Linked DNA regions of Callithrix jacchus. The protein of the gene in region 1 interacts with the protein of each later gene in a biochemical or structural test. Links are inferred from orthologs where the notes say so. Each region holds a gene or a part of one and is shown in the gene's direction. Other genes may lie near its edges. The genes, in order: CFH, CRP and PTX3.

The links.
Region 2: the proteins of CFH (region 1) and CRP form a complex in vitro, tested with the Homo sapiens proteins (12 studies listed by BioGRID and IntAct, with this or other methods). The link is inferred for Callithrix jacchus from reciprocal best matches to the Homo sapiens genes CFH and CRP.
Region 3: the proteins of CFH (region 1) and PTX3 form a complex in vitro, tested with the Homo sapiens proteins (3 studies listed by IntAct, with this or other methods). The link is inferred for Callithrix jacchus from reciprocal best matches to the Homo sapiens genes CFH and PTX3.

What each region holds. Positions count from the first base shown.
Region 1 is NC_133519.1:53,163,447-53,173,560, forward strand, and holds the start of CFH (complement factor H), read left to right. Parts: upstream 1-5,292; 5' UTR 5,293-5,367; coding exon 5,368-5,425; intron 5,426-10,114. UniProt on the Homo sapiens protein: Glycoprotein that plays an essential role in maintaining a well-balanced immune response by modulating complement activation.
Region 2 is NC_133519.1:19,659,527-19,669,475, reverse strand, and holds CRP (C-reactive protein), read left to right. Parts: upstream 1-4,862; 5' UTR 4,863-4,960; coding exon 4,961-5,027; intron 5,028-5,256; coding exon 5,257-5,867; 3' UTR 5,868-7,084; downstream 7,085-9,949. UniProt on the Homo sapiens protein: Displays several functions associated with host defense: it promotes agglutination, bacterial capsular swelling, phagocytosis and complement fixation through its calcium-dependent binding to phosphorylcholine.
Region 3 is NC_133518.1:28,113,832-28,123,919, reverse strand, and holds PTX3 (pentraxin-related protein PTX3), read left to right. Parts: upstream 1-3,709; 5' UTR 3,710-3,793; coding exon 3,794-3,923; intron 3,924-4,372; coding exon 4,373-4,774; intron 4,775-8,775; coding exon 8,776-9,389; 3' UTR 9,390-10,000; downstream 10,001-10,088.

The sequences.
Region 1 (10,114 bases):
AAGTATTCCTGGAAGGCATTCTTATACGTGGAGGATCACCAGTTATCAAATTATATTTAATTGCGACTGTAAAATATACCAAATAAATCTCAAACTAATAGCCTATTATGTGTAAGTTTTTATTGCATTGTTCAAATGCCTGACACTGTAATGTCAACTGACTCAGTGGAAATGCAATGAATGGGAAATCGGCATAGAGTAAGAGAGACAGCAGTTCATTCTCTTGCAATTAAGAGATTAATTCTCTTCAATTGTTTACAAAAATAGACGACCGTGCAGAAACATTACTAAGGGCCCTCACAGGTCCTTGATGGTTTCTGTTCAAATTAGGAGCCCTGAAGCTTAAACTTCATTAGCTTCATAGAAAAATCAAGCTCTGATTATAATTTTTAGTTTTTTACACTTTTTCTTTACATTGAGATGCTGCCTAGTTGTTGTATTATGAATTCATTCAGTAATTTATTTAATTTGTATCCATTTTCTGAGTCCTTTTCCTTTCATCCATTTTAATACAACTACCAAAGCACCATTACTTAAATAATGCATTACCTATGTTTCTTCCTCAATTGGATCTATCAAAGATTCTTTATTGACTGTAAAATAATTCACAAGTTTTTGATCTGGAATTCAAACCATTCCTCATTCAAAGCTCCTTTTACTTCTTCCACAGTTTTCTTGTGCAAAACCACAGATCCTTCATGAGTCTTCTCATTAATTCTAGATTATCCCTACACTTTCCAATTTTTCACAGTTTTTGCTCAATTGTACTCTTGTCTTAAACTACAGTGTAACATCCCAAGTATTCTTAAAACAATCCCTGATCAAGCTCAGTGCTCAGTAATTTCTCTTTCTTGTAAACTTCCTTGGAAAATTTTAATCACAGCAGTCATTTGTTACTTAGCATACATATTACCTATTTCTAATTTTTAAAATATGAGATTTTTCTCTAATACAAATTTGTCTCTACTCTTCTATATTTTACCAAGTTCAATGTGCTACATATACATAGTACATATTTGCTGAGACGTGCCCAACATGAATATTGAAAATAAATTGGATCCTTTTCAGTTTTAATCTAAGTATTAATAGTTAACTATTTGCTATCTGTACTTGCTAATGGTAATCTGATATAATAATTTTATGATTTTAAGGAATAATATGTTGGTAATTTTCTTATGTTCTAAATTTCTTTGTAAAAAACTTTTTAGTTTTAAAAAATAGTGATGGAAAGAAAGGAAACAAAAACACTCAATTGATGTCTTAGCCATCAGTCTTTGAAAACAAGTAGAACAGAGAAAAAATAGTAAAAATAGTACATCTGAAAGATATTTGTTGAAATTAATTCCAGAACATTATTTCTACTTGGATAGTAGATTTGCATTTTACATTCAACAATTGCAAATTAGGTAATGATTTGTATAGTAAAATTATTTCTGCATGTACTTTAAATTATCCACAAACATATAAATATGTGTATGTGTGTGTGTGTACATTCAATACCTTTATAGTATGTGTATAATTGTGAAATAAATAAACATGAAGCATACCCTAGAATACACATGAAAATATTTTACCATATTTTTAAATACATAAAAGAGTTACTGACAGTTAAACTTACGTTAATTTAATAGCATAGGAAGCAAACCATTTGAGAAGCAGACTTGTGTATGTTCAAAGTAAAATTCTGGGAATTAGCCCATTGGCACTAGCAATGTCTTGTGACCTTAAGGGAGTTGCTTAGATGTGGCTCAGTTCAGTCACCTGTACATTTGAAAGAGTAATAGTCTCCTATTTCACTGTGTTGCTTTAAGTATTGAATAAATGTGCTTAGATCTGTGTCTGGTATATAATGAACACTCAATAATATTAATCTTGAAAAGTTTCTGAAACACTCTCCAAGTGATAATATTGCTATTAGAATAGAAACGGCTATTGGAAAGTTAAGCCCAGGTAAGATATTTGAATTCATACTCAAATAGATAAAACTAAGGAAGGAATAAAGAAGTTTAAATGATCTATTATGTCAACATATGTGTTACCAGTTACATCAAATTAAACTTCAGAACGATAGTTCAGAATTCGTATTTGTTTGATTGTTAACATACATGTGCTATTTTATTTCTTATTTTCTCAGAACAAAAGACTAAGTCTAACTCTTCAACCCTTATCTTTTTAATAAATGAGTGAAAATAAGATAAAATAAAATGTAAAATTTCCACTGGAAGCAAAATAAGAGTTAATGTGAGCCATTTAATGTGAGAAAATGACCAATGCAAGAGGAGGACATCACAATTCTAAATACGTATGCAAGCATAATCAAGCCCTAAAATATATAAACATTGCCAACATTAAACAGAGAAATACAAAAAACCACGTTTATAATGGGAGATGTAATACACCCTTTCCATAGCTGATAGAAAAAGCAGATAAAAACATGGTAAAAATATAAAATATTTTAACAAAGGAATTACAAACTTGATCTGCTGACACAGAATTTTGAATAAAGAAATACTCATCAAACAGTATAATTATTTAGAATATGTCTTCTGACCACAGTGAAATTAAACAAGATATCAATTTAAAAGATAATTAGAAAGCCAAATTTCCCAGAAATTTGCCATTTAGAAAAGTTTTAAAAATAAACAGACTATTACATTAAGAACAGCTTGGTGATATAAACTTACACATATCCAGTACCTGATTCATGACAAAGGTGAAAGCATGTCAATACAGAGGAAAGAATGATACTCTCATTAAATAATGCTATAACAATTGGATAACTCTATTTTTAAAATGCACTTGGAGCTTTTTATTAAACTATACACAAAAGACAATTATAGTTGTTCTAAAGGTCTTAAATGTGAAAGATAAATTAATTTTTTTAGAAGAAAAGCATTGTGTTCTAGGATTAGGCAAGGTTTCATTAAATAAGACACATAATGCACTAATCATAGAAAAAAATTTGAAAATTTGCTCTACTCTAAAATTAAGGAATTTTATTTATAAAGGACATGTAATACTGAATGGAAAGAAAACCCACAGGCTGGAAGAAGGTATTTATAATACATATTATAAGAATATTTTCATATCTAGAATATATAAATATTTATAAACAATTACTGTAATGCAATAAGTCAAAGACAGACAATAAGGAAAAAAAGATGCAAAAGATTTGAATAGAACCTTCACCAAAGAGGATATCTAAATTACCAATTACCACAGGAAAGTTTCTCAATTTCAAGATGATATGGACAGGAGACAGGGAAATGGTCCACCAGCAGAGGCCCCACACTCAAGCCTGAAGACCTGTGGCCCTAAATGACAGGCATTTCAGTTTTCACACCCATAAAGTTGCCTTTTGGCCCACCATGCCCTCCTGTTCTGCCCCCATATAAACCCAAAACTCCAAGCTCCAGAACAGACCTGCAAATGAGGAGATGAGGAGGCAAGCAGACCAGCAGACCAGCAAAGGCAGAATGATGCAGCAGAGAAAGAGAGGAGGGACATCTGGTCTATGAGGGGAGTTCGGCCTGGGACAGTTAGAGAAGAGTCCAGCCACTGGGAGGCCTGACTCTGGCCAAAGGCCACCTTCCCACTCCATCTCGCTGACAGCCACCTCCACCACTCAATACAACCTTGCCCTCCTTCCTTGAGCCCCCAAGTGATCTGATTCTTTTGGGACACTGGGCAAGAGCTTGACATACAGAAGGCTGTTATACTGTCCCCCAACCATGAGATAAGGAAGAGGGTCCATTGAGCTGATTAACACACAAACCGTCTGTAGATGACAAAGCCCCCCTGGGCTTCGGGAATTGCAGATACCCACGCCTTGATGCTACCGTGACACCAGAGCCGGAAAGCACTCACCCCAGTTCTGGTACCTGCCCATCTGTGTGCCCCCCTCCAGTGAGGGGTTTGAGTTGCACCCCTGCCACATGTCCTGCAAGGGAAATCTGGGCTCTCTCATATTTCAATTAGTCATCAAAAAAATTCATATTATAACCACAGAGAATTATTGCTTTGTGTTACCAGAAAGGCTAAAATTAGGAAGATTAAAATTATCAAGTATCTCTGAGGGTATGGAGAAACTTGGACACTGCTCATAGAAATGTCAAGTGTTATAATCCTTTTGGAGAATTGTCTAATTTTATCCATTACACCTAAATGTACGTTACGTCCTAATGTTTCACTCCCAAGTATGCACTTACCAGAAATGTGGATTGTGTTTACCAAAAACCACGTAACATCATGCTCATAGCAGCACCATTCATAATCAGCTCCAAACTAAAATCTGCTCAAATACTCACTAACAGGCACACAGACAAACAAAATGTGAAATATTCAAAAAATGGAATGTTTCATCACAGTAAGAATTAACCATTTATAACTTCATCTAACAATCTGTTTGCATGGTCCAAACATAATTTTTAGTGAAAAGTTCTACACATAAGAGTAAATTGCTTCCTTTTCATTGTACAAAATACAAAAACCAGACAAATATATTCCATGTTCTTGCAGATCAGAATCATGGTGTGTGATTCTGTGTGTCAGGGGGTGTGGGAGAGGCTTGAGAGGAGTATTGACCAAAAGGTAGTATTGGGGTTTTCCGGAAAATAATAATGTTCAGTGTTTTGACTTTGGTAAGGGTTTCATAGGTATCTTACCTTCTCAATATTCAGTATGTGATTTATTTATGTTTTCCTTATACACATTATACTGTAATACACATTTTTAAAAATCAGCATTCCAATTTGTTGATTTATGGATTGTGAAACCTATTTATGTCAAATGAGAGTGAGCCAGTTGCTTCATACACATATATAAAAATCATTTAGAAAACAAATTTCATGAATTGTTAGAAAAGCAGGAGCTCCACATCATCTAGCACTTCATTCTTGGGCAAAGTTTGTACACATTGCCTGGGTGCTGATTGTGAAAACATTGCCTAAACTAAAGTTTTCTAAGTGATTTCTTTTAAAGTGTCTCTTATTTCCTGTTCTGAGATTTATACATAATAGGCCTGAATAATTGAAGGGTTTATGAAATCCAGAGGGTGTCACCAACTGTTGCTTTGCACACACTAAGAACATGAACATTTTCCAAGCTTAATAAGAAACAGTCCAAGAGCAGGTCACAGCATTAACATTCAGTGGGAGTGCACTGAGAATCAGGTTCAGCCTTTGGGATTGCTGGGCTTGTGGATGATTTTTTTGTTTACTTTGCAAAAGTTTCTGATAGGCTGAGCATCTAGTTTCAACTTCCTTTTGCAGCAAGTTCTTTCCTGCACTAATCACAATTCTTGGAAGAGGAGAACTGGACGTTGTAAACAGAGTGAGCTGGTAAATGTTCTCGTAAAAGACCAAAAAAATGAGACTTCCAGCAAAGATTATTTGCCTTATATTATGGGCTGTTTGTGTAGCAGAAGGTAAGATTAAAAGAGGAGAACTGTTTTTCTAAAACTGTATTATGAAACATTTGCTAATGATGCTTTTCACAGTAGTAATAAAATTTGATTTAGAATGTGCTTAAGTATTGTGTAGCTTAACAATTGAGTGGCTTTTGACATTGTTCAGTTTAAAAAATGTAAGTACCTATTTGAATGGTATATCTGAATATTTATCTTCATTTTATTTAATATAAAAATTTAGAAAATATTTAAACAATTGTTTCTGAAAATCTATAATGTGTAATAATCATGTCCCTTGTAGTTATCATGAAATACAACTTATTTTTTTGCTTAGAAGTATAACCAAAATGAATCATGATGTGAAGGATGTGAATAGTCAATAAAAGCCATCAAATCACAATGATTAGATTTATTTCAGATATGATTTTTACTCTTTCTAAAGAAAAATTCATTTATCATTTACAACTGTGCTTGCCATAACTTTAGAAGTCTGATAAACAAGCATTACTTGTATTATCAGAATAAAATATTATGTACATTTAAAACACAATTGAATATACAATATTTGTAACAGTTAAGTTGTTCAATAGGGATTTTTTTCCTGTCGTTGTAAATAAGATATTCTTGAAGAGCAGTCTTTTAGTATAGTGAATATAAGTGTAGGAGTTTTTTTCTGACATCAGCAAGACAATTTCTGGATTCATAATAAAATTTAAATGTATAATTGCTTCTTGACAGATTAAAAAGCTTATTCTTGGAGGTTTGCTTTCCTAGTCTGTGATAAGTAACCGGTTATGTGAAAGATATTTGATCAACATTTTTAAACTAAATAAATTACATATTATTCATAATTTCCAAAAACTTTTCACGTAGTCAAAAAATTTTGATTGAGGCACTAAACATAGCCTCTAGGAACTGAAGAAAATTAGCAAGTACACAAAGTCTCTCTGTTGTTTGAGTCTTCCAATCTAGAAAATAAAGGCAGATATGTTTTTATAGTTTATCCTTCACTAATCAAAAAAACATTCAAATATGTTTAATACCTTGTGAAAGATTGAACTTTCATTCAGTTCTATTTTCTAATGTTATTGCTGTTATTTGGCTTGTAAACTTTATATGTAGCCACTTTTAAATGAAGAAATCATTTCCTTGTACATATAAATATTACAATTACTATTTTAAAATGAAATATTTTTGTATTTGCCAACAGTTCCAGAACAATGTCAACGTCATCAATCATCACAGACATCTTTTTCTGTTTCTTTGTGTAAATATTTATGTCTTTTCTTACTAAATTTAAGGGAATGCTTTTAATATTTCATATGTACATACTGTTTGCTCAGATTTTACATAGATATCATTTGTCATATGAAGGAGATTTGTTTTATTTCTAATCTTTAAAATCAAGAATCAATGGCGAGTTTAATAAAAAGTTTAAGTTATTAAAAAGTTGAATTTGAAATATTAAAATAGAGTACATCAAATTATATGTGATAATTAAACAGTAGTGGTTTAAACTTATTTGCATAATTGATTATTACTGGGTTGTTTCACTTGAATTTTATTATTCATCAATGTGTATTTAAATGTGATATCAGTTTCTACTGGTGAATTGAACATCAGCACTAGATTATTTCATAGTGAAAATGAAATAAATCGGCCGGGCGCGGTGGCTCAAGCCTGTTATCCCAGCACTTTGGGAGGCCGAGGCGGGTGGATCACAAGGTCAAGAAATCGAGACCATCCTGGTCAACATGGTGAAACCCCGTCTCTACTAAAAATACAAAAAATTAGCTGGGCACGGTGGCGCGTGCCTATAATCCCAGCTACTCAGGAGGCTGAGGCAGGAGAATTGCCTGAACCCAGGAGGCGGAGGTTGCGGTGAGCCGAGATCGCGTCATTGCACTCCAGCCTGGGTAACAAGAGCGAAACTCCGTCTCAAAAAAAAAAAAAAAAAGCACATGTAATGCAAAAGTCAATTGAGAAAAAGTACATAAAATTTCAGTGGATATCATATTCCTGTTTTATTCCTTGTTTCCCAAGTACTCTTTAAAACTAAACTAGTTTGAGATGTCCATCAATTCTATTAATCTACCATATCTAACAAACTTTGACTTAACAGAGTAGCCTTGATCATGAAACATACTCACATATACTTCAATATTTGCTTCAGTTTATATTTCCCATATTGAACACTGAATACTAAATTGAGAAAAGACAGTTTGAATACCATCACAATCTGCTTTACTCAACTGCATATATTTTAGCATTACTTCTGCCCTGTTAAAAGTGAATATTCACTTTGGGAGGCCAAATTGGGCAGATCATCTGTGGTCAGGAGTTCGAGACCAGCCTGACCAACATGGAGAAACTTCATCTCTACTAGAAATACAAAATTAGCTGGGCATGGTGGCAAATGCATGTAATTCCAGCTACTCGGTAGGCTGAGGCAGGAGAATCACTTGAACCCAGGAGACAGAGGTTGCAGTCAGCTGAGATGGCGCCATTGCACTCCAGCCGAGGCACCAAGGGCGAAACTCCATCTCAAAAATAAAATTATAGCCAGCAGGAATAATTTATAATTTCAGCTTTCTATTTTCTAAAAAAATATGTTGGGGACTACATAGTACCTTTATAATGCAGTACATTGTGTACGGTCACATTGCCAGTTGTATAGGAACATTAATTGCCTCCTTGTTGTAACAGTCTATAGCTCAGGGAGTTACCGCAAGCTACTGAGAATTGGGTCATATTTACAGGACAAAGTTTCAAATAGCAGTTTCTCAATCGTACCACCTAATTTCACTTTTTTGAACTATATTATTACCAAGCTTTTCACTGTATTTTGACCAAGCAGATTTTTTTAAATTTAGGGTCTAACAATTGTGTCCTATGTGAAATTAGGCCACAGCCCAGAAATTCCAAGATGATTAAAGTGAATAAATTAAAACTCTACTGAAACATGTTCAAGTAAATACTGGCTGTGTTGTTAGGCAGACATGGTTTCTAATCCTGGAGATTTAGAGTGCAAAAACATCATCTCAGTTCCCAACAGACATTATAGATCAAAGACTGAAGGATTCCATTATGATCAGAGAAAGGAGAATAATATTTTAAAATCCTAAATTTTATGTTTGAATTTCAGTGTGGTAAATAAGAATTCCCCCTTCTTCCCCCAAGCCCCTACATTTTTAGAGGTCACAGTACGGGTAGGTACCTATATGGTTGATTTAAAGTTGTGCAATGGCCCAGTTATCTTCAATAGGTCATGTCCTCCTAAAATACTTTACATATTGATATTAATATTACCATGAATTTAACCAATTTGTCATTTACACAGAATGACACATACACTGAATACCTACTTTAGGACAGTTAAATTTAGTATTATTCATAATTTACTTCAAATTATTATAATCTGAAAACTTCCCTGAAACAAGTTCAGTGGGCAGGAAAGGGTAGAAATGGATGCTGATGAGGGTAAGAATAGGACAAAGTGATTTTGCAAGATGCGGTATTCCCAGGTAGGACAGATCTGCTGATTGAAGTGCTATAGTGAGTCTATAAGAGAAGGGATAGAGAAAAAGAAAATGCCCACAGAAATGGCACGAGCATGAGATGTCTGCCAAGGCAAGCTTTGCTTATTTTAAATTTAGGCATATCCTGGGAATGCATATGCTACTCTTTTGCCTACATATAATTTAAACTAAAAATGAAATATCTAAGTATTGCTAACTAAAATTATTCTTAGGTAGAAGTAAGTTCCCAAATATAAAAGCAGATTAGTAAATGTGTGGTCTTTGGTTTCTAAGATCTGAGCCAGTCTACACTGACCCACTTTTGTTTGCTTAATCCCCAATTGTTTATTCTTTTGCCTCTTTTCATTCTTCCCAGTTATGCCTCCTCCTCCTCCCCCCAGATACCATCTCCCACCTGTCCAGGCCTTTGAGATTCTGCCGCCCAATCTATCCTGTGCTCAGTTGACTAATGTGTACTTTACCCATTTCTTCACAAAACATGGTACATGGATGGGGGATGACGTAATTGACAAAAAAAGTGTTGCATTTTAGCTTAAAATTATAACGAGACATAAAAAGATAGCTCAGAGGAAGTAAAGTAGCTGAACATCAAAAAAATGAAACAATAAAACAGAAAAAAAAAGATCTGACAGAACACTTTTATTTCTTCTGCATTTTAACTTAGCCAAGTTTTTCCCAAACCTTGTTAACTGGAAATGTAGTAGATAGAAAAGTGATTATAGAAATTTTCTTTCAGAAACTTCTGAACCATGTAGGACACACAGGTCAGATGTACAGTGGAATTACAAATGTTAATGTTTCCTGGGTTCTTGCAACAGAGCTTTAAGTGCATTAGACAGTTATCACCTTGTCTTCTCTTATATTTTCTAGTTGCTATTGTCTACCACGCCTTTTCTACAGGCTGTCCGTAATCTAGATATAATGGAAAGGCTTCCAGATATTTTCATTTTTACTTATCTGTTCTTTCGCTCGTTCATTTTTTCCATCACTTCAACTTCCCCAAGTGCTACTTAGTAATACATGGTACAATATGTGTTGTTTTTTTCCCCCTATTTTTGGGGTCCTCATTTTACTGTCTCCCTGTGGTTCCCTTTGTGTGACTGGAACAATAGCTGGCATTAGGAGTTAGCTATTCAAATACTACACATTTCAAGAAAGTTGTGGAATT
Region 2 (9,949 bases), about 34 Mb from region 1:
GGTGGCAAGGATGCCAGTGTATGTTTTATTTCAGGGAAACTGATGGTTGGTTTGGACATACAATGTTCTGGATTCAGGGTGTTGTTAGGAAGGTATTTCTGTTTGTCAAAAGATATTCAAATGTAAGTATCATAATACCTACTGAAATGTGTAAAGTAAGTAAAAAGGGAGTTTATGGCTAATGAACCTCAGAGGACTTGAGGTGAAGCTGGCATTAGGTGAGACTAGATTCAGAGACTCGAACAATGTTATTGAAGCACTGTCTATCTCTCAGATCTACTTGTGAGTCAAGGATGGTGTATTAGTTGGTTTTCACACTGCTATAAAGAACTACGTGAGTCTGGTTAATTTATAAACAAAAGGGCCGGGCGCGGTAGCTCACGCCTATAATCCCAGCACTTTGGGAGGCCAAGGCGGGTGGATCACGAGGTCAAGAGATTGAGACCATCCCGGTCAACATGGTGAAACCCTGTCTCTACTAAAAATACAAAAAACTAGCTGGGCACGGTGGCGTGTGCCTATAATCCCAGCTACTCAGGAGGCTGAGGCAGGAGAATTGCCTGAACCCAGGAGGCGGAGGTTGCGGTGACCCAAGTTTGCACCATTGCACTCCAGCCTGGGTAACAAGAGCGAAACTTCGTCTCAAAATAAATAAATAAAAAAAATAAACAAAAGACATTTTTAATGGACTCACAATTCCACAAGTCTAGGGAGAACTCAGGAAACTTACAATCATGGTGAAAGGTGAAGGGGAAGCAGGCATTTTCTTCACAAGGCAGCAGAAGAGAGAGTGAGGGGGGAGCTGCCAAGCACTTTTAAACCATCAGACCTCATGAGAACTCACTCACTATCATGAGAACAGAATGGGCCAAACTACCTCCATGATCCAATCACCTTCCACCAGGTCCTTCCCTCGACTCATGGTGATTACAATTTGGGATGACGTTTGAGTGGGGACACAGAACCAAACCATATCATTCCATCTTGGCTCCTCCAAAATCTCATGTCCTTTCACATTTCAAGACCAATCATGCCTTCCCAACAGTCACCCAAACTGAACTTACTTCAGCATTAACTCAAAAGTCCAAGTGTAAAGTCTCATCTGAGACAAGGCAAGTTCCTTCTGCCTGTTAGTCTAGTAAAATAAAAAACAAGTTAATTACTTCCAAGATATGATGGGGGCACAGCCATTGGTTAAATGTTCCTGTTTCAAATGAGAGAAAGTGGCTAAAACAAAGGGGCCACAGGCTCCATGTAAGTCCGAAATCTAGCAGGTCACTCATTAAATCTTAAAGCTCCAAAATAATCTCCTTTGATTCCATGTCTGACATCCACATTCATGTAAGTGGTAGGCCCCCATAGCCTTGGGAAGCTCCACCCCTGTGGCTCTACTAAGTACAGCCCCTGTGGCTGATTTCACAGGCTGGTGTTGAATGCCTGCAGCTTTTCTAAGCACAAGTACAAGCTGTCAGTGGATCTACCATTCTGGGGTCTGGCAGACAATAGCCCTCTTCTCATAGCTCCACTAGACAGTGCCCCAGTGGGGACTCTGTGTGGGGGCTCCAACCCTGTATTTCCCTGTTGCATTGCTCTAGTAGAGGTTTTCCATGAGGGCTCCATGCCTGCAGAAGACTTCTGTCTGAACATCCAGGTGTTTCCATACATCTTCTGAAATCTAGGCAGAAGCTCCCAAGGCTCAATTCTTGTCTTCTCTGCACCTGCAGTCTCAACACCACTTGGAAGCCACCAAGACTTTGGGCTTGCACCCTCTGAAGCAATGGCCTGAGCCCACTTTTAGCCATGGCTGGAGCTGGAGCCGCTGGGATGCAGGGTGCCATGTCCCTAGGCTGCAGAGAGCAGTGAGGCCCTGGGCCTGGACCATGATACCATATTTTCCTCCTAGGCCTTTGGGTCTGTGATGGGAGGGGCTGCCATGAAGATCTCTGAAGTGACCTGAAGACATTTTCCCCATTGTTTTGCAGCTCCTCATTACTTATGCAAATTTCTGCAGCCAGCTTGAATTTTCCTCTAGAAAATAGGTTTTTCTTTTCTACTGCATGATCAGGCTGCACATTTCCCAAACTTTTATGCTCTGTTTCTCATTTAATTATAAGTTCTAATTTCAGATAATCTGTTTGTGAACACATATGATTGTATGTTGTCAGAAAAAGCCAGGTCACCTCTTAAATGCTTTGCTGCTTAGAAATTTCTCCTGCCAGATACCATAAATCATGTCTCTTAAGTTCAAAGTTCCACAGATCTCTAGGCCATGGGCAAAATGCCACCAGTCTCTTTGCTAAAGTATAGCAAGAGTGACCTTTACTCCACTTCCCAGTAATTGCCTCATTTCCATCTGAGGACAACTCAGCCTGGACTTCATTGTCCATATCACTATCAGCATTTTGGTCAAAACCATTCAACAAAACTCAGGAAGTTCCAACCTTTTACACATCTTCCTGTCTTCTTCTGAGCCTTCCAAACTGTTCCAGCCTCTGTGCATTACCAGGTCCAATGTTGCTTCCACACTTTTAGGAATCATTATAGCAATATGTCACTATCCTGGTACCAATTTTTTGTATTAGTCTGTTTTTACACTTCTATAAAGAACTACCTGAGACTGGGGAATGTATAAACAAAAGAGTTAATTGACTAAGTTCTGCATGGCCTGGGAGGCCTCAGGAAACTTACAATTATGGCAGAAGGCAAAGGGGAAGCAGGCACCTTCTTCACAAGGTGGCAGGAGAGAGAGAGAGTGGGGAGGAACTGCCAAACACTTTTAAACCATCAGATATTGTGAGAACTCACACACTAATGTGAAAACAGCATGGGGGAAACCACCCCTATGATCTAATCACCTCCCCCCAGGTCCCTCCCTTGACATGTGGGGATTGCAATTCAAGATGACATTTGGGTGGGGACATGGAGCCAAACCATATCAGATGGGGAGTGGTGGGACAGAGGACCACTTCTTTTAGGCATAAAGCCTTGAAATTATTTCACTTTTACACTATGAACAAGAATTCAGCAGGAAGTTATAAACTGTTGAACGTTTCTGAGAAGCTGAGTAAAGTAAGAACAGAAAATGCATTATTAAATTTACTGAGAGATGTGTTTATGTTGCCTTCACTAGAGTGGTGAAAGCCAAGGCCTGATTTCCATGGATTGAGGAGGGAACAGAAGATGGGATAATTGAGGTTGGAAGCACACATAAGCTTTTCCTCCCTTCTCTCATTCCCATTCTTCCTTTTTTCTCTTTTCTTTCTTCTTTCTCTAAAAGATTAAATATATTATAGCATGGTTTTGTAAAAATGATCAAGTAAAGATGAATGCATTAATAATGCAGAAAATAGAGAGGATACCTGTAAGGAGCAAAATTCCTTGAATGGTTGACTGGGTCTGGGATCCACTGAAGAAGTGCAGGGGTTGACCTTAGACATAATGCAGGGAGAGCTCATCCCTTTTAATAGAGGAAGATGGAAAGACTGGTACATTGGGTTGTAGGAGGATGTATAAGGATATCAGTTTGGTGTTAAGAACAGAAAGACTGAGTTAAAAGCGATTTTACAAAAGAGGAGAATATTTCTCCTTTAAGTAAATGTTCAGGTAGGCAGTCTAGAGCTGATATAGTGGCTCCATACTCAATTATCCAGTCTCTATGTATCTTGTTGCCATGCCAACCTCAACATGCAGCTTACACTTGCTGACCTGAAAGTGAACTGTTCCATCTCCTGCTATCATGACTGAATACTAGCCAAAGGAAAAAAGGGGGAGGTGGGAGCGGAAAGCATATACCTTTCTTAAGGAGCACAACCTAGAGATTGTCCCTATTCTGTTCCTATCTCATTGGCCATAATTTAATCATATCACTGCAAGCTACAGTGGGGGCTGGGAAATTTGGTGTTTGAGGGGACGACTAAGCGCCCAAGTAAAAATGTTATTCTTATGAAAAGTAGAGAATGGATGTGGGGGAGTGACTAGAAGCCTCTGCTACAAAAGATATGGTGCTTCTTTTCTGATGGCTTTTAATTTCTCAACAAAAGGTGAGTTCATCAGCTGAGTGAAAGAATGAATGAGACTTGAGGAGCAAGGAGAAGCGGCGTAATCGTCATTTGGAAGAGTGAGTTAAGTAGGGAACTGTAGTAAGACTGTCAGACAGTGTGAAGGGATTACTTGAATCTTGTGAACAGAGGAAGTAGTAGAATCAGTTTATCCAGACTCCTGCTGGAAGCTTTACATATTCAGAGAAAGATGTTATAGGAAGAAACTCTGACATAATGCTCTGCCTGTGATCAGGCAAACGTTTCACTGGACTTTTACTGCCAGGACCACCATTTAGTGCCAAAATGTCTAGAGAGCTCTAGATAAGTATATTCAATTGGCTGAGAAAATGTGTCCAGGGCTTAGGGAAGGGCATGTTTGTTCTTCTCATTTCCCAATCTGTAAACAAGCGGATTACGAAAGGGGTTAGTGATCAGGGCCATCTCCAGAAGCTGTCAGCTTTCCTTTGTGAAACTCTGTGATTTGGGCTGAAGTAGGTGTTGGAGAGGCAGCTACCACGTGCACCCAGATGGCCACTCATTTAATATGTTAACATTTCTCATTATTTTCTCAGGATGGATAGCCAAACTGAAACCCTGGGAGGTTTCTTCATTTTTCCTGTCACAAAGAATTGGTAATTCAGTAGTCATCAGAGTTTCTAATAAATAACCCATATTGATTTATCTGTTCCGGAATGATTTTGCTTCCCTCCATCCTGGAGCCCTGACACTTGACCCAAGAGGCAACGTTGGAAAATCATTTACAAAGTGGCATAAAATCCCTTACTGCTTTGGATATAAGTCCAGGCAGGAGGGGGTAGCTCTGAGGCAAGAGATCTAGGACTTCTAGCCCCTGAACTTCCAGCCAAATACAACTTTTGCAAAGGAGTGAATTCAGATCCCTGTAGCACTGGCAGCGGGGCATGAGCATGGAGAAGCTGTTGTACTTCCTGGTCTTGACCAGCTTCTCTCATGCTTTTGGCCAGACAGGTATGGGCCACCCCAGGCTTTGGGAGAGATTTGATCTGAGGTATGGGGTTGGGTGAACAGAACAGTGGAAGATTCATCACGACGTGTGTGTGTATGTGTGTGTGTGGTGTGAGTGTGTGTGTGTAAATGGGGAAGGGGTCAGTTTCTCAATCTTAAACTCTATCAGTGAGGGGATAGATCTTTGTGATCTGAGAAACTTCTCATTTGTACTTGTTTTTCTGTCTCACAGACATGTCCACGAAGGCTTTTGTGTTTCCCAAAGAGTCGGATAATTCCTATGTATCCCTCAAAGCACAGTCAACGAAGCCTCTCAAAGCCTTCACTGTGTGCCTGCACGTCTACACGGAACTGTCCTTGACCCGTGGGCACAGCATTTTCTCTTATGCCACCAAGAAACAATCTAATGAGATTCTCATATTTTGGTCTAAGGGTAGAGGATACACTCTTACAGTGGGTGGGCCTGAAGTGTTATTCGAGACTTCCGAAGTCACAGCTCCAGTACACATTTGTACAAGCTGGGAGTCTGCCTCAGGGATCGTGGAGTTCTGGTTGGATGGGAAGCCCAGGGTGAGGAAGAGTCTGCAGAAGGGATACACTGTGGGGACAGAGGCAAGCATCATCCTGGGGCAGGAGCAGGATTCCTTCGGTGGGGGCTTTGAGACAAATCAGTCCTTGGTGGGAGACATTGGAAATGTGAACATGTGGGACTTTGTGCTGTCACCAGATCAGATTAACACTGTCTATGCTGGTGGGACCTTCAGTCCTAATGTCCTGGACTGGCGGGCACTGAAGTATGAAGTGCACGGTGAAGTGTACACCAAGCCCCAGCTGTGGCCCTGAGGCCGGGCTGTGGGTCCCGGAGGTGGTTCCCAGTTTTTTTACATCACATGGGCCCCACATCTCTGTCTCTGGGCCTTTGTTCCCATATACGCATTGCAGGACTGCTCCGTTTTCCTCAGCACCTGAGAACACAGGCAAAGTGTCTGGCCTGGGACCTTGTGAACTACGCTGGGAAGCTTTGTCCAGGAGAATCAGAATTTCAGGTGTTTTGTTTTTCATTTTTATTTCTTCTTAAGTTGGACAGATCTTGGAGTTAATTTCTTACCGTCACATAGATGAGAAAACTGAAACCCAGAAAGGAGAAATGATTTTTTGTTTTTAAAGTCAGAAGGCAAGGACATCTCTGAGCTGAGAAGGAACTACTGGTCTTCTATTTAATTTCCTGCCCAGGACTTCCAGAAAGCAGGAGGGCATTGTCCACATTCACAGGACTCTTCATTCTCAGAACCAGGACATTGGCCAGGTATCTGGATTGGGTCCAGAGTGCTCAGCATCACGCTATGGAACTGCTGGGTCCAGGTCTCGTGGAATGGGAAGCCCAGCAACACTGCACAGCTCCTCCACGTTCTCAAAGCACACGGGAGAAGCCATTAGAATTGCCCTAGCAGAGGAGGTCTGCCTTTTTCCAGAGCAAGATGAGGCACAAGGTATAATATGTTGTTACTGCCAAGAATGTGCATAAAAATGGTTTTTGCTTGTTTGCAGTGCTTTCTTAATTTTATGGTTCTTCTGGGAACCCCCTCTGCCCCTTTCCACACAAACCTTGTGGGGCTTTGAATTCCTTCTTCATGCCCGCATTCTCAATATACTCAGGATGCAAGAGTAGACGTGAGACACAGGGCATCCTGTCAGAGTAGCCCATCTCCTATCTCCCCAGCTCCCTATCTGGAGGTTGTTCTTGGATATTAAATGTTCCTAGCAGGACCAATTATAGTCTTCCCAAGGATTGAGTTGTAGACTTTGGGAGTGAGAAATCTTCTTGCTGCTGGATTTCCAAGCTGAGAGGACGTGAGCCTGGGACCACCAGTAGCTATCTTGTTTGCCACATGGAGAGAGGTTGTGGAGACAGAAGCCAAACTGGGAATGGGGGAGCCCAGGGATTGATATGCGATGGAGCCTTGGCCACGTAGAGCCTCTAAATCAGCCTGTCCAGAACCACATCTATACCTGGACTGCCTAGATCCATAAGCCAATAAAGCTCCTGCTTACTTGAGTGAGTCCAGACTGTTTTCTGATGGTTGCTTTAGAGGCTGTGACTAAATTCTCTGAAGACCTTTGAAACCAAGTCTGTATAAGTTTACACTGCCCATTACAGAACAGGTCCATGGCACTCTAACCTGTCTGAGACCCTGCAGGGATGGCCTCTGACAAGCACATTCCCTCTTTTGAGACAGCTGGCCATTCATGTGATGCCAGTTGTAGGGGTTTTAATACTCTCATTGTGTCATTATTCCAGTTTGAGGAACAAAAGCTAAAGATCATTGTGATCCATGAATCTGCTGCCAGGTTCAGTGACTGGAATGCACTTGCCTTGGTTCGTTCAGGTTCTCTGTAGAAACAGAGCCCTCAAAGGTGTCGGCTGCTGCTTCCTCCAGAAGCGTCCTTTAACATGGCCTTTCAGCACTAAGTGATCAGTAGAAGTTACTCCATAGAAACCACAGCCAGGAATGAATTATGGGGCTTCCCGCGTATTAAATGGTCATCTAGAGGAGGCATATGGCAAGCTAGTTAAGCACAGAGGTTCTGGAATCAGACTGCCTCGGCCATATTCTGGCTTTACAACTTACTAGCCATATGACCCTGGGTAATATGATCTCTTTATGTCTCAGTTTTTTTACCTACAAAACAGGAGAAATGGTAATTAGCTCAAAGGGTTGCTATAAGAATCAAAGAAAATCATGCAAGCAAAGCACTTAGTACAGTGCTTGGCACAAGGCAAACTATTTTAGCAGTTTTCTGCTATTGTTGTTATTAAGCTATTTTGTATTATATCCGTAAACATAGGCTTGTTATAGGCCATAAAAATACAACTTGGTAGAATTTGTCTCGGTTGGCAGTAGTTGAAGTTTCTCGTTGACTAAGAATTAAGTTTAGAATGTTAGAAAGATGAAGAACAAATCTTTGAAACCATTATTTGTGAATGTTGACTTCACTAATTGAGTTTTGATGACCCTTTGTAAGCGTAGAAGTTAAGGATACATTCTCAGACAAAAATGAGAGTACAAACATTGTCTGTTGTCCAATTCGGGCAGATCCATCCATCCTCACAGTCAGCTAAGCAGAAGAGAGGACTGCCACTCTTTTCTAGTTAAAGAATCCAGATATGTCTTAATTATAGAAGGCCATCCCAACTCCCCAGGGGTGTGGGTTGAGGTAATATTTTCTTCAGAATTCAATTACTTGTATCTTATTATATGTAGTCTTGCGGACAGTCTCTGGCCTTAATAATTTCAGCCAGGAAGATTTTAACAACTGGTATTTGCATTCAGAGAACATTAAAAAATATTAACAAAGCATTTGTAGGATGTTCAAATTTAAGCAATTGAGCCTACTGGTGGATACTTCATTATAATCTTGTTGGAAAATGTATTTCCAGGTAACTGGTGAATTGTCATACCATATAGAGCTATCAGATATAATCCAATTAGATGTTAGATGACATCTGCCAAAAGAGATGACTCTGATGTGGGCATGCTGGTTCTAAGCGGTGCTTTTTTGTGTGTGTGAAATGGAGAGTAAGATCAAGCATCCACCATGGCCATTTCTAGCTGATACTAATAAAGCCGTGTCATCAGCACTGGTTTTCTGTTAGAGTAGGAACTATGCATCCAGTTTTTCCAGAAATAGAATCAGGCCTCAAGGAATGAGTTAAAGAGACATAAGACCAAATGGTCTATAAAACCCATAATGGAAATGAGGTGAAAGAGGGGTGGTGGCCCAGTGCCTGAAGAGATACTGTAGTGCATTTATAGGCCAAATAAGAGCAAGTAGACCAACAGTATGAATCAGAGATAATGGAGGCTGCTACTTGATAGAACACTTTCTTTTTGGAACTGAAAATAGCCATGTTGCTGTAAGCATTAGGGCCAGGCCTGATCCTAATGTAAGCCCCTTAGTGTGGAATGCAACATAGAAACCTAATATCTCCCTGTGTCAGAAATAAATATTAGCTCATTGGCCAGGCAACAGGCCTTGCACACTCTCCAAAAAGAGGTGGTCATGGAGAGAGCATGGTTAAGAATGGGCTGCATGTAAGGCCAGGTGAGTGGAGGAGAAGCCAACCCTGTGGTGAGAACTGGTCTATCCAGGCCCTAGAGGAGGTACTACAGGCTGCCTCAAAAGTGAGGCTGGGATTTGATGGAAATGGATTTGGAGTCTCAGCCGACAAAATAAGTAACACGTTAAATCTGCTATATTCTCCCTGTGCTTTCACTATTCTCAAGTTTGATGTGCCCCAGGGAAGCAAAGATTGACAAAGAAAGCAAATGACTCTAGATCATTAAACACCACCACCATCACGACCTAGACAAAATTTCCAAAGTTTAGATTTCTGATCACTAGAATCCCAGGGAAAAGAGAAGCACGGCTTTGATTTCTAGGTAGTTTTATCCTGGGACAACTGCCTGGTAGTCTCAGATGGGTTGTCATAAGTTGCCTGGATTCCTTATTTTCAGCTCCCTGTCTCTATTTTATCTATGCATCTTTTCATTTCTTCTGTACTGGAATGCAGGTTAAGTAGGCTTGTTAGCCTTTTCCTTCACAGAATGGAAACTCCTAGCTCAAATTTCCTGGATCTCCTGGACCAGTGATAACTTATAGTCTACTGATTGCAGGCATCCTTGTCATCTGGGTGTTTGAGTATGGATTCATTGACCCCAGCCCTCCTGGAGTAGACTCTCTGGGGTTAGCGCTCAGGAATGTGCAGGATCACAAGCCCTGTTATGCTATGTGCTTGTAGAGCCAGAATTTTAGTGTTTTCCTGACAGCTCAGATGTCTTATCTCGGGGACATCCCTGCCTCCCACTAAGCTTGTGGGCAGGTGGTCACCTTTAAGGAAGCATCTAGTGCATCTGTACTCAGGT
Region 3 (10,088 bases), on another chromosome or scaffold:
CTTTTCCTTATTTCCTTATGTCCTGCTTTACAGGCAGGGACTTCCAATACACATTTTGATGAATAGAATCACTGTCCATGGATATATATCCTTGTGTTATTCCTGTTTTTACAAAGCATGTTTCCAAGGATTTACAATGACCTATGTATCTGTTTCTATCGGTTTTGGTATTTATGCTTTTTTCAGTTTAAGTAAGTTCCTGTCTGCTTTCTAGTTTATTTTGAGTGTTGAATTTTATCAAACAATTTTCTCATCTGTTGATATGATGATTCTTCTCCTTTAAACTGTTAATGTAATAAATTAATAGCTATTCCAACATTTAATCAATCTTGCAGTCTTGGAATAAACTCAACTTGGTTATAATATATTTTTATGCACACTGCTGTGCATAATGTGTATTTTTATTCATATTGCTGTGTTTGTTTGATGAATTCTTTATTTAGAGCTTTTGCATCTACATTCTTGATGAGACAGGTTGTAGTTCTTTCTTGTACTGTCCTTGTCTCTTTTTGGTATCATACTTAGCAGACATGTAAAACGAATTTAGCACATTTCTGCACACTCCATTCTCAGAAGCAGTTTGTGTAAGATGGGGATTATGTGTTCCTTGAATGTTTGGTAGAACTTGCCCATCAAACCATCTGGGCAGTACTCTATATATTTTATTATATCAAACTTTATGTAGTTGAAGTTTCTGTATGCTTTGACAGACTTTTTTTGGCATTCGAATGATCAGTTATGACATAGGTGAACTTATCAGTTATGTTAAAATCTCCCTCCATGATTATGAATTTGTCCATTTCTCCTTATAATTCTGTCAATCTTTGGTATATATTTTTTGAAACTATGTTGCTAGATAATTCAAAGATATCTTCCTGTTAAAGTATTTCTTTGTATCATAGTGAACTATCCTCTTTTGCCTAGGTCTATTTTTTGCCTATAGTACTATTGCTATGCTAGCTTTTTGGAATAGCACTTGCTTGGTATGTTCTCTTCCTCCCCTTCAATTTAAAGGTTTTAACTTTTAATATTTCTACTTTCTTAGGCTTTATGTGTTGTTTTTATAAGTTTTGTATAGCCGGATTTTAAAATATTTCTTTTTTCTTTCTTTCCTTCTTTTTCTTGTTTGTGTGTGTGTGTGTGTGTGTGTGAGAGAGAGAGAGAGAGAGAGAGAGAGAGAGAGAGAGAGAGAGAGAGAGAGTGAGTCTCATTCTGTCACCCAGGCTGGAATGCAGTGGCATGATCATAGCTCACTGCAGTCTCAACCTCCCAGCCTCAAGTGATCCTCCTGCCTCAGCCTCCTGAGTAGCTGAGATTACAGGTGCACACCACCACACCAGGCTAATTTTTAAATTTTTTATACTGACAGGAGTCTTGCTATGTTGATCAGACTTGTCTCAAACTACTGGACTCAAGTGATATGCTCCCACTTTGGCTTTCCAGAGTACTGGGACTCTGAATGTGAGCCTAGCCTAAATATTTCTATATGACAAATAGAAATATTTGTCTCTTAACTGGAAAACGTGTTTCATTAACATTTATCGTAATTATTGGTATATTTTGATTTATTTTTAGGACATAATATTGTACCTTTTACTTACCTTCTTTGTGCTATTTTTTCCTCCTTCACTGATTTTTTTTTTTTTTTTTTTTTTTTTTTTAGATAGAGTCATGCTTTGTCACCCAGGCTGGAGTGCAGTGGCACAAACTCTGCTCACTGTGAACTCCACCTCCTGGATTCAAGTGGTTCTCCTGCCTCAGCCTCCCGAGGAGCTGGGACTATAGGTGTGTGCCACCACACCTGGCTAATTTTTTTGTATTTTCAGTAGGATGGGATTTCACCGTGTTAGCCAGGATAGTCTTGATCTCCTGACCTCGTGATCCACCTGCCTCGGCCTCCCAAAGGCGTGAGCCACTGCGCCCGGCCCCAATTTTTTTTTTTTCAATAGATCAAGTCTTTCTTTAAACATTCCCCCTGCTCCTTCAGTTTGGATGTCTATGTCCTTTTGGTAGTTGTCCTGGAAATTGTAACTAATTTTTTTGAACAAAGCAAAATTAATAAATTTCTTTATCATCCTTCTGAACAATGAAAGGATTTTAGAATACTTTTACTGAACATAAAATTGTACATTTTGGATTATTTTCTTATATCTGTCCTCCAGTTCATTAATGTTCATTTCAGCTTTGCCTAATTTGCCACTTAATCCATGCCTTGAGCTTTTAAAAATTTTAATTGCCTTTTTTTTTTTAATTCTAGAAGTTATATTCGGTTCTTGAAAAAAATCACCTTGCCTTTTTCTCTTTGACAATGTCTTATTCTTTTCTTGTATGTTCAATTCCTTCCTTTAGAGCTTAAATAATTTTAAACATATTTATTTTCTAGCCTTTGGCTGATATTTCAAATAAATAAAATTATTGGGGAGAGGTGTCTAATTCTTTTTGGTCTCTGCTGATTTTCATTTATAGTGGTTTGCTTCCTCACATGTTCAAATATCATAATATCATTGTGATTTTTTTTTTTACAGTGGCGGACAGTATACATTGGAATTCCAAACATGTTTGAGGTCAGGCCCAAATTCACAAACTCAGAGGGACCTTGTAGAGTTCAAAGAGAGACATGGTTGCTTCCTACCTTTTTGTGTTAGGGCAGAGTAGAATGTACCTACTGAAATACAGTATTTAACCCTCTAGGTTCCTGGCTTTCATGAAGGTCTCTTCTAATTCTCCGCCTTTGAACTAAGCTTTGCTTCCACATGGTCATCAACATTTGGTGATTATAGAACTAATAACCCCTAACGGTCTTCATTCCTATTCCAGAGGGGCCCTAGCATCAGCTCATGGGATTGTTGGTTTTGGTTTCCTCTCTCTCTTTGGCTCCTGGATATTTCCCTTACTTTAATGGGAGCCCATCTGTATCTTTTAAGTTTTTATTAATAAATATCATGTGAACATAGACCTGTATATATTGTTAAAAGCAAAAATCTCTATGTTTACTTTTAAAATAGGATCCTTGCCTCTACACCTTGTAGAGTAATATAATGTCTGCATAATACCAAGTTATGAAAAAAAATACCTAAGTAGCTAAATAAGTATATTCCTTTTTTCCAGCTTCCACCCCACCCCCACCCCATTTAGGTTTACCCAGGTGTACGGTGTTTATCATTTAAAAAGTGTGTCTATAAAAGTATAGGTGCAACTACAACAGAAGGATTAAAGACAAGATAGCTTGGATTGGACTTGACTTCCAGAGCCATAACAATTCTCAATATGTTGGTTTATCTTGGAATCAGACCATTTTCATTTTTAACCTGTAAAACAGTGTACAAAGGAAACATGGAAAGTTTATGAAATAAGAACAGCTCACAGAAAATGCTGAAATGATGAATTCCTTCACTATCCTCTGAAATTACTCCCCCTACCCCTTCTTCATTTTCATTGCTATCAATTCATGTTACAACAGCTAATTCTCAGGAGAATAGTGGAAGCCCAGTTTCTCTCCTCTTTCCCCTCTGACTCTGAATCTGACTGCAGTGTAAACCTTTGTGGTTTACTATTGTGCAACTTCCACATTTCCCTCGCCCTCCCACCCAGCCCCCTCCCCCACCAAATCCAGGGGAACTCCCGTTACCACAGTGCCACCAGCATTACTCATTCATCCCCATTCAGGCTTTCCCCAGCATTTATTAAGGGCTCTCTCCTCCAGCCTCTCACTCTCATTCTCCTCTGCTCAACCTCAGTTCACTTGAGAGTCTCCTCCCACCAGCCGTGGAACGAACTTTGCGTCTCTCCAGCAATGCATCTCCTTGCGATTCTGTTTTGGGCTCTCTGGTCTGCGGTGTTGGCCGAAAACTCGGACGATTATGATCTCATGTATGTGAATTTGGACAACGAAATAGACAATGGACTCCATCCCACTGAGGACCGTAAGTTCACTTTAATGTTTCTCTGCTAACCCTGACTACATATCCACGTCTTGGTCTGAATAATACACATATATACTTTGTAGCCAGTGAGACGAGTTAAAATATTTAGTTTGTTTTGCCAAAGTGAGAAGCACTTGAAGAAAGAGGGAGGTTTCAAAGTTATTTCTGTAACGTACATAATGGGTTGAGTCATATAAAATCGCCGATATTTGACTGTTTTGAGCTACATAACCGGCGATTTCATAGGATACAACTTAATCTACACCTGAATGAATGATTTCTGTTGTTCTTGAGACATTTACGTGCTGTTTTTCGGAGGTGTTCTTAAAGGCAAGGGAGATGCCAGGGACGGGCTGCAACTTGGCACCACCGAGGGAGGTCAGCTTTTACAAAGCACATCCTAGGCAGGCCTGGGCGGGCTGGTAACGTGTGTGCATCCCGCGCTCTAGCCACGCCGTGCGACTGCCGTCAGGAGCACTCGGAATGGGACAAGCTCTTCATCATGCTGGAGAACTCGCAGATGAGAGAGGGCATGATGCTGCAAGCCACGGACGATGTCCTGCGGGGCGAGCTGCCGAGGCTGCGGGCGGAGCTAGGCCAGCTCGCGGGCAGCCTGGCGAGGCCGTGCGCGCCAGAAGCCCCAGGGGAGGCCAGGCTGGCCGGTGCTCTGGAGGAGCTGCTGCAGGCGAGCCGCGACGCGGGCCGCAGGCTGGCGCGCCTGGAGGGCGCGGAGGCGCGGCTCCCAGAGGAGGCGGTTCGCGCCCTGGCCGCGGTGCTGGAGGAGCTGCGGCAGACACGAGCGGAGCTGGGCGCGGTGCAGGGCTGGGCGGCCCGGAGCTGGCTGCCGGCAGGTAAGGAGGCTTGCTGGGCCGGGACCTCCCCCTGCGGCTTTGTTCCGGGAGCGCGCGTAACGGCGAGTCAAGCCAGGCAATCTTCTAGGGGAAGCTTTCATGGGAAACACACACACACACACACACCCCTATTTCTCCTTGCACGGCACAGAGCTCAGACACACCATACAAGGCAGGAAAATAGGCTTTAAAAAAGTATTCCTCAGTCCTAAGGAACTCTAAAGAAAATTGTGGAGGTAACCATCACAGTCTTGAAATAGCCTTCTAGGGCCCTGACACCCGTTCTGATCAGACGCTGCAGGAGGTCCACTGGCCGGTTATAACCGTGACCCATCTCGCCGCCCAGCTTCCCTCCGTTAGGGATTTTCACGTCTTCTAATTTTATCTTGCCTCTGTCTTTTGAGGAGCTCTGGTTTCCCGCACTATTTCGGGGCCCAGGCTAACGTTTAGGGATGTTTTCCAGCCCCTCAGCCGGCCCCTCCTCTCCGCCCATTCTCAGCAAGAAACTTGAGGCTGAATCTAATCTCCCGAAGGGTCAGCGGAATTCTCCAGGGATCCCCCAGCCTCCAGGGTTTGTGGAATAAGCGCGACAGGGGAGGTCAGAGGGTGTGCGGTTTGAGATTCAGCGTGGAACAGTCAAGTGTGGGAGCCAATCCGTGAAGGCGATCCCAGCTCCACCCCAGGGATTCAGAGAACTGGGCCAAACAGGAGAGAGACTGTTCAAACCAGAGGCAACTTCTCAAAGTATCCATGAATCTCTAAACAGACATGAGTTCCCAAAATAATACATTCTAAAGATGGTTAAAAGAAAGAAATCGAAGACTTGGAGCCTAGCAATACTCCTTTGTATGCCAAAACTTCTAAGAAATGGTGGTGTCACAATCAATTTGGATTATATTAGAAAATCAGTGTCCTAGGTAAGAAAATATAATCGCAATTTTCCTGAGAATTCTTCCCTATATTTCCAAGAAAACCACTTTTGCTGGATGGGGGGAGAGAAGAAGCATGTTTGAGGGCATGTTTCACTTAAAGTTAGAGAAATTATACCATATTTTCTAAATATTTGAGGAATGCTTATCAGTAAATATCAAATACTGCTTCAGAGGAGAAAAAAACATAAAATCAAAAGTACAGTAGATTCTCAATGTAATAGGAGAGAAATTAGAATTCTGCAGCCATTTTAATGAATGAAATGTGTTTTGCAAACAAAGTCATTGTACATATAATGCACCTGAAAAACTGAAGAATTACTCTATTTTTTAATCTTCATCTTTGCACATTAGTTAGAGCAGAAGAGGGATGCATTTCTGAATTTAAAATGTTAATCCTTATTACATCGATAATACTTTTACCAATATGCTTTGGTTTCTCTTTTCTTGGTCTCCAGCCAACTTGGCTCCTAACCATTCTGTTGTTAGCCTCCTAAGAACCTGGCTTTAATTTTGTTTGGTCTTCGATAATCAGAAAAACCTATTAGTTATCAGCCATTTCATAAGAGTTTCTGATACTTTAAAGAAGTATTAAGAGTCTTCTTTAAAGAAGGCCTTTAAGAGCCTCTTCTTTAAAGAAGGCTCTTACTACTTTAAAGAAAAGGTATTAAGATTCTATCAGAAACTATCTTATGAAATGGATATAACTTTTGGGTTATCACTGGTTCCCAAAAAGAAGCTCACCCAAAATAGCCAACATGTGGTTCATCTATCCATGAACTTAAGTAGCCAGTGTAGCCTAGAGAGAAGCTGAGTCTGAGATGCAATCAAGGAGTGCTTTGGAATGCAATCCTGACTGCCTGGGCTTATTTAAAGAGGAAATCACTTAATTAGATGGCAGTAGGCACCCTCTTGAATGCTACTTTACTGAAACTTTATAGAGACTATATCAAATGCCCAAGGATGTGGTGATTTTCTGTTCAGTGATTTTTATTTGATTTTAATTAACATAGCTAGAAAAAAAGATGTACCTAGCAATGTCATTTAAAAAATGAATCAGTGCCTCATCAAAAATTAATTTTAAAAAATCTTCAAAAGTTCAAATTATTTAGTGAAAAAGTATCAAAGGCCAGTAACAGTAAAAGTAACAGGGCCAGTTTTGTGTTTTAGTATTGTAGTTACTTTTACATGATTTTCTGAATGTCAATATTTTATTTGACTATCCCTAATACTAAAGGATAAGGTCCATATTTGTTTAATGTTTTCTGGACAGAGCCTAGCCCTGATCCCTTGTAGGAATCTGACATAGTTTACCACACTTTTACATGGATCTTTGGTTTCTGCAAGTTCTGTCTCTTTACCAGTTATTCTGGAACCATTTCGGGAGTTGGCTTTTCAAAGCTGTCTTATGGCAAATCTTCTTTAGGTTGTTATATCTAGCCCTAATTTAGGTGTTTTTTAAAAAAATACATACATACATACACACACATATATATACAAAAACACACATATATACATATATACACATATGTGTGTATTTGTATTTTAGATATATATAATTTTATATAATATAATATATAAAATATGTCAGATTCCTACAAGTGGCTCAGGGCTATAATTATATGTGTGTATATACACACATATATGTATATATATATAGGTATACACACACACACACACACACACACAGATAGCTAGCTATTTCAATATTTAGATAGATAGATGAAGAGCTCACTTGTTCTTTCCCAGAGACACGTAAACAGTTTTTGTTTCAGCATCTCCAGCTTCCCAAATGGCTAAGTGGCCTTGAGATGGACAGTGGTAGAAACTTACTGAGCTTTCCACCTCAAATTTGAAAGTCCTCCTCCTAAGTGCTCTTTAGCAGAAACATGTTCTTCAATCAGGCCCCTTGAAAGAATGTACTCTTCTTAAAGAATTTCTATTACTACTTAAATAGTAATTATAAGCATGTGGACAAAGTAAGAATTTTTAAACGTTCTTCTATTCAGCTCTTAAGTGCAACACACTGGCTGCTTACAGACTTGCAGAATATTAGGAGCAGAATGGAAGGGCCTTTTTTAGATAACAGTGAAGCCTAGAGAAATTATGAGGCTCATCCAAAGTTACACAGCTCATTAGTAGTAACACCATCTGAATTTTAGCCCTCCTAGAGAAATCTAGGTGTTCTATTAATATAGAGGCAATTTTGTGTGCTGGTTAAGGGTGTGACCTTTGCAACCAGACCGCAAAAATTCAAACTCTAATTTTACTGCTTATCAGCTATGTAACATAGACAACATAACATAAAAGTAACATAGACAAGTTACTTTTGCCTAAGTTTTCTCATCTGTATAACAGGAATAAAAAAGACGATCTCTTGGGATTGGCATGAGGATTAAAATGACATACAAAGTGATTAGAACAGTATCTGGCATATCATGAATGCCCAGTAAATTTAGTCATCATTATTATACATTGTTGCCTTTCAAAGGTAGTTTTCTAAAAACTCTACAAAGTTTGCAAATATTTGGTATATTAAAATATATTCTGCATTAACGTCACTATTCTAGAATTTTGCTGAAAAATGCATGTTGTTAAAGGCTAAATGGAGCAAACTAGGTCTACTGAATTTCATAGGTTTATCATTTTAGGAACTTGGTGGTGGCAGAAAGAGAGAACCAGGCTGGGCTCTGAATTATTGGAAATTATAGAATTATTGTCTGAAGTTAACTGATAGTGATTCAACTTTTTTTTTTAAGGCAGTAACAGAAAATATGCAAATTGGAAAGGAGGTAGTCATGTCTTTTATTATTTTGTGGGTTAAGACTAGTTGGCTCTTCTATTTGCAGGCTTTCTCTTCTTTTAGATGTTTCCTTGGATAAGACAACTGGCTTTCCTTTTTCTCATTTTCTTTGCTCTGCAGAGATTACACCTGAAGCCTCTTAAGTCATAATGTAGGATTGCATACAGCTTTCAATTATGGTTATTAAAATACTTATGTTAAAATAATACCAGAATCATTTTGAATAAATTTTTATTTTCTTTAATATTCTTCTCTTCTTGCCACTCTAGGTTGTGAAACAGCTCTTTTATTCCCAATGCGTTCCAAGAAGATTTTTGGAAGCGTGCATCCAGTGAGACCACTGAGGCTTGAGTCTTTTAGTGCCTGCATTTGGGTCAAAGCCACAGACATGTTAAACAAAACCATACTGTTTTCTTATGGCACAAAAAGGAATCCATATGAGATCCAGCTGTATCTCAGCTACCAGTCCATAGTGTTTGTGGTGGGTGGAGAGGAGAACAAGCTGGTTGCTGAAGCAATGGTTTCATTAGGAAGGTGGACTCACCTGTGTGGCACCTGGAATTCAGAGAAAGGGCTCACATCCTTGTGGGTAAATGGTGAACTGGTGGCTACCACTGTTGAGATGGCCATAGGTCACATTGTTCCAGAGGGAGGAATCCTGCAGATTGGCCAAGAAAAGAATGGCTGCTGTGTGGGTGGTGGCTTTGATGAAACATTAGCCTTCTCTGGGAGAATCACAGGCTTCAATATCTGGGATAGTGTTCTTAGCAATGAAGAGATAAGAGAGACCGGAGGAGCAGAGTCTTGTCACATCCGGGGGAATATTGTTGGGTGGGGAGTCACAGAGATCCAGCCACATGGAGGAGCTCAGTATGTTTCATAAGTGTTGTAAAACTCCACTTGAAGCCAAAGAAAGAAACTCACACTTAAAATACATGCCAGCTGGGAAGGTCTGAAAACTCAATGCATAATAGGAACACTTGAGACTAATGAAGTAGAGAGTTGAGCTCAATCTTTATTTATACTGGCAAAATACTGAATAAACAGTTGAAGGAAAGACATTGGAAAAAGCTTTTGAAGATAATGTTACTAGACTTTATGCCATGGTGCTTTCAGTTTAATGCTGTGTCTCTGTCAGATAAACTTTCAAATAATTAGAAAGGACTGTATTGTTGAACAGAAGGACAATTGTTTTACTTTTCTTCAGTTAATTTTGTTTTGGCCAGAGATTAATTTTACATTAGAAGAATAACAAAAGATTTGTTATCCATTGTCCATTGTTATTGGTATGAACTTTATTACGAAAAAAGAAGATGAAAACATATTTATACTACAAGGTGACTTAATAACTATAAACGTAGTTTATGTGTTACAATCGAATGTCACTTTTTTGAGAAGATAGTCATATAAGTTATATTGTAAAAGGGATTTGTATTAATTTTATTGACTATTTTTGTAAAGCTCTACTGTAAATAAAATATTTTATAAAACTAACTCTTGTCATTTAATTGTAAATTTAAGAGATGTCTTGAAGCAAACGCATACTTTTCTCTCTTCATTTAAAGTAGGCAATTAGTTTTCC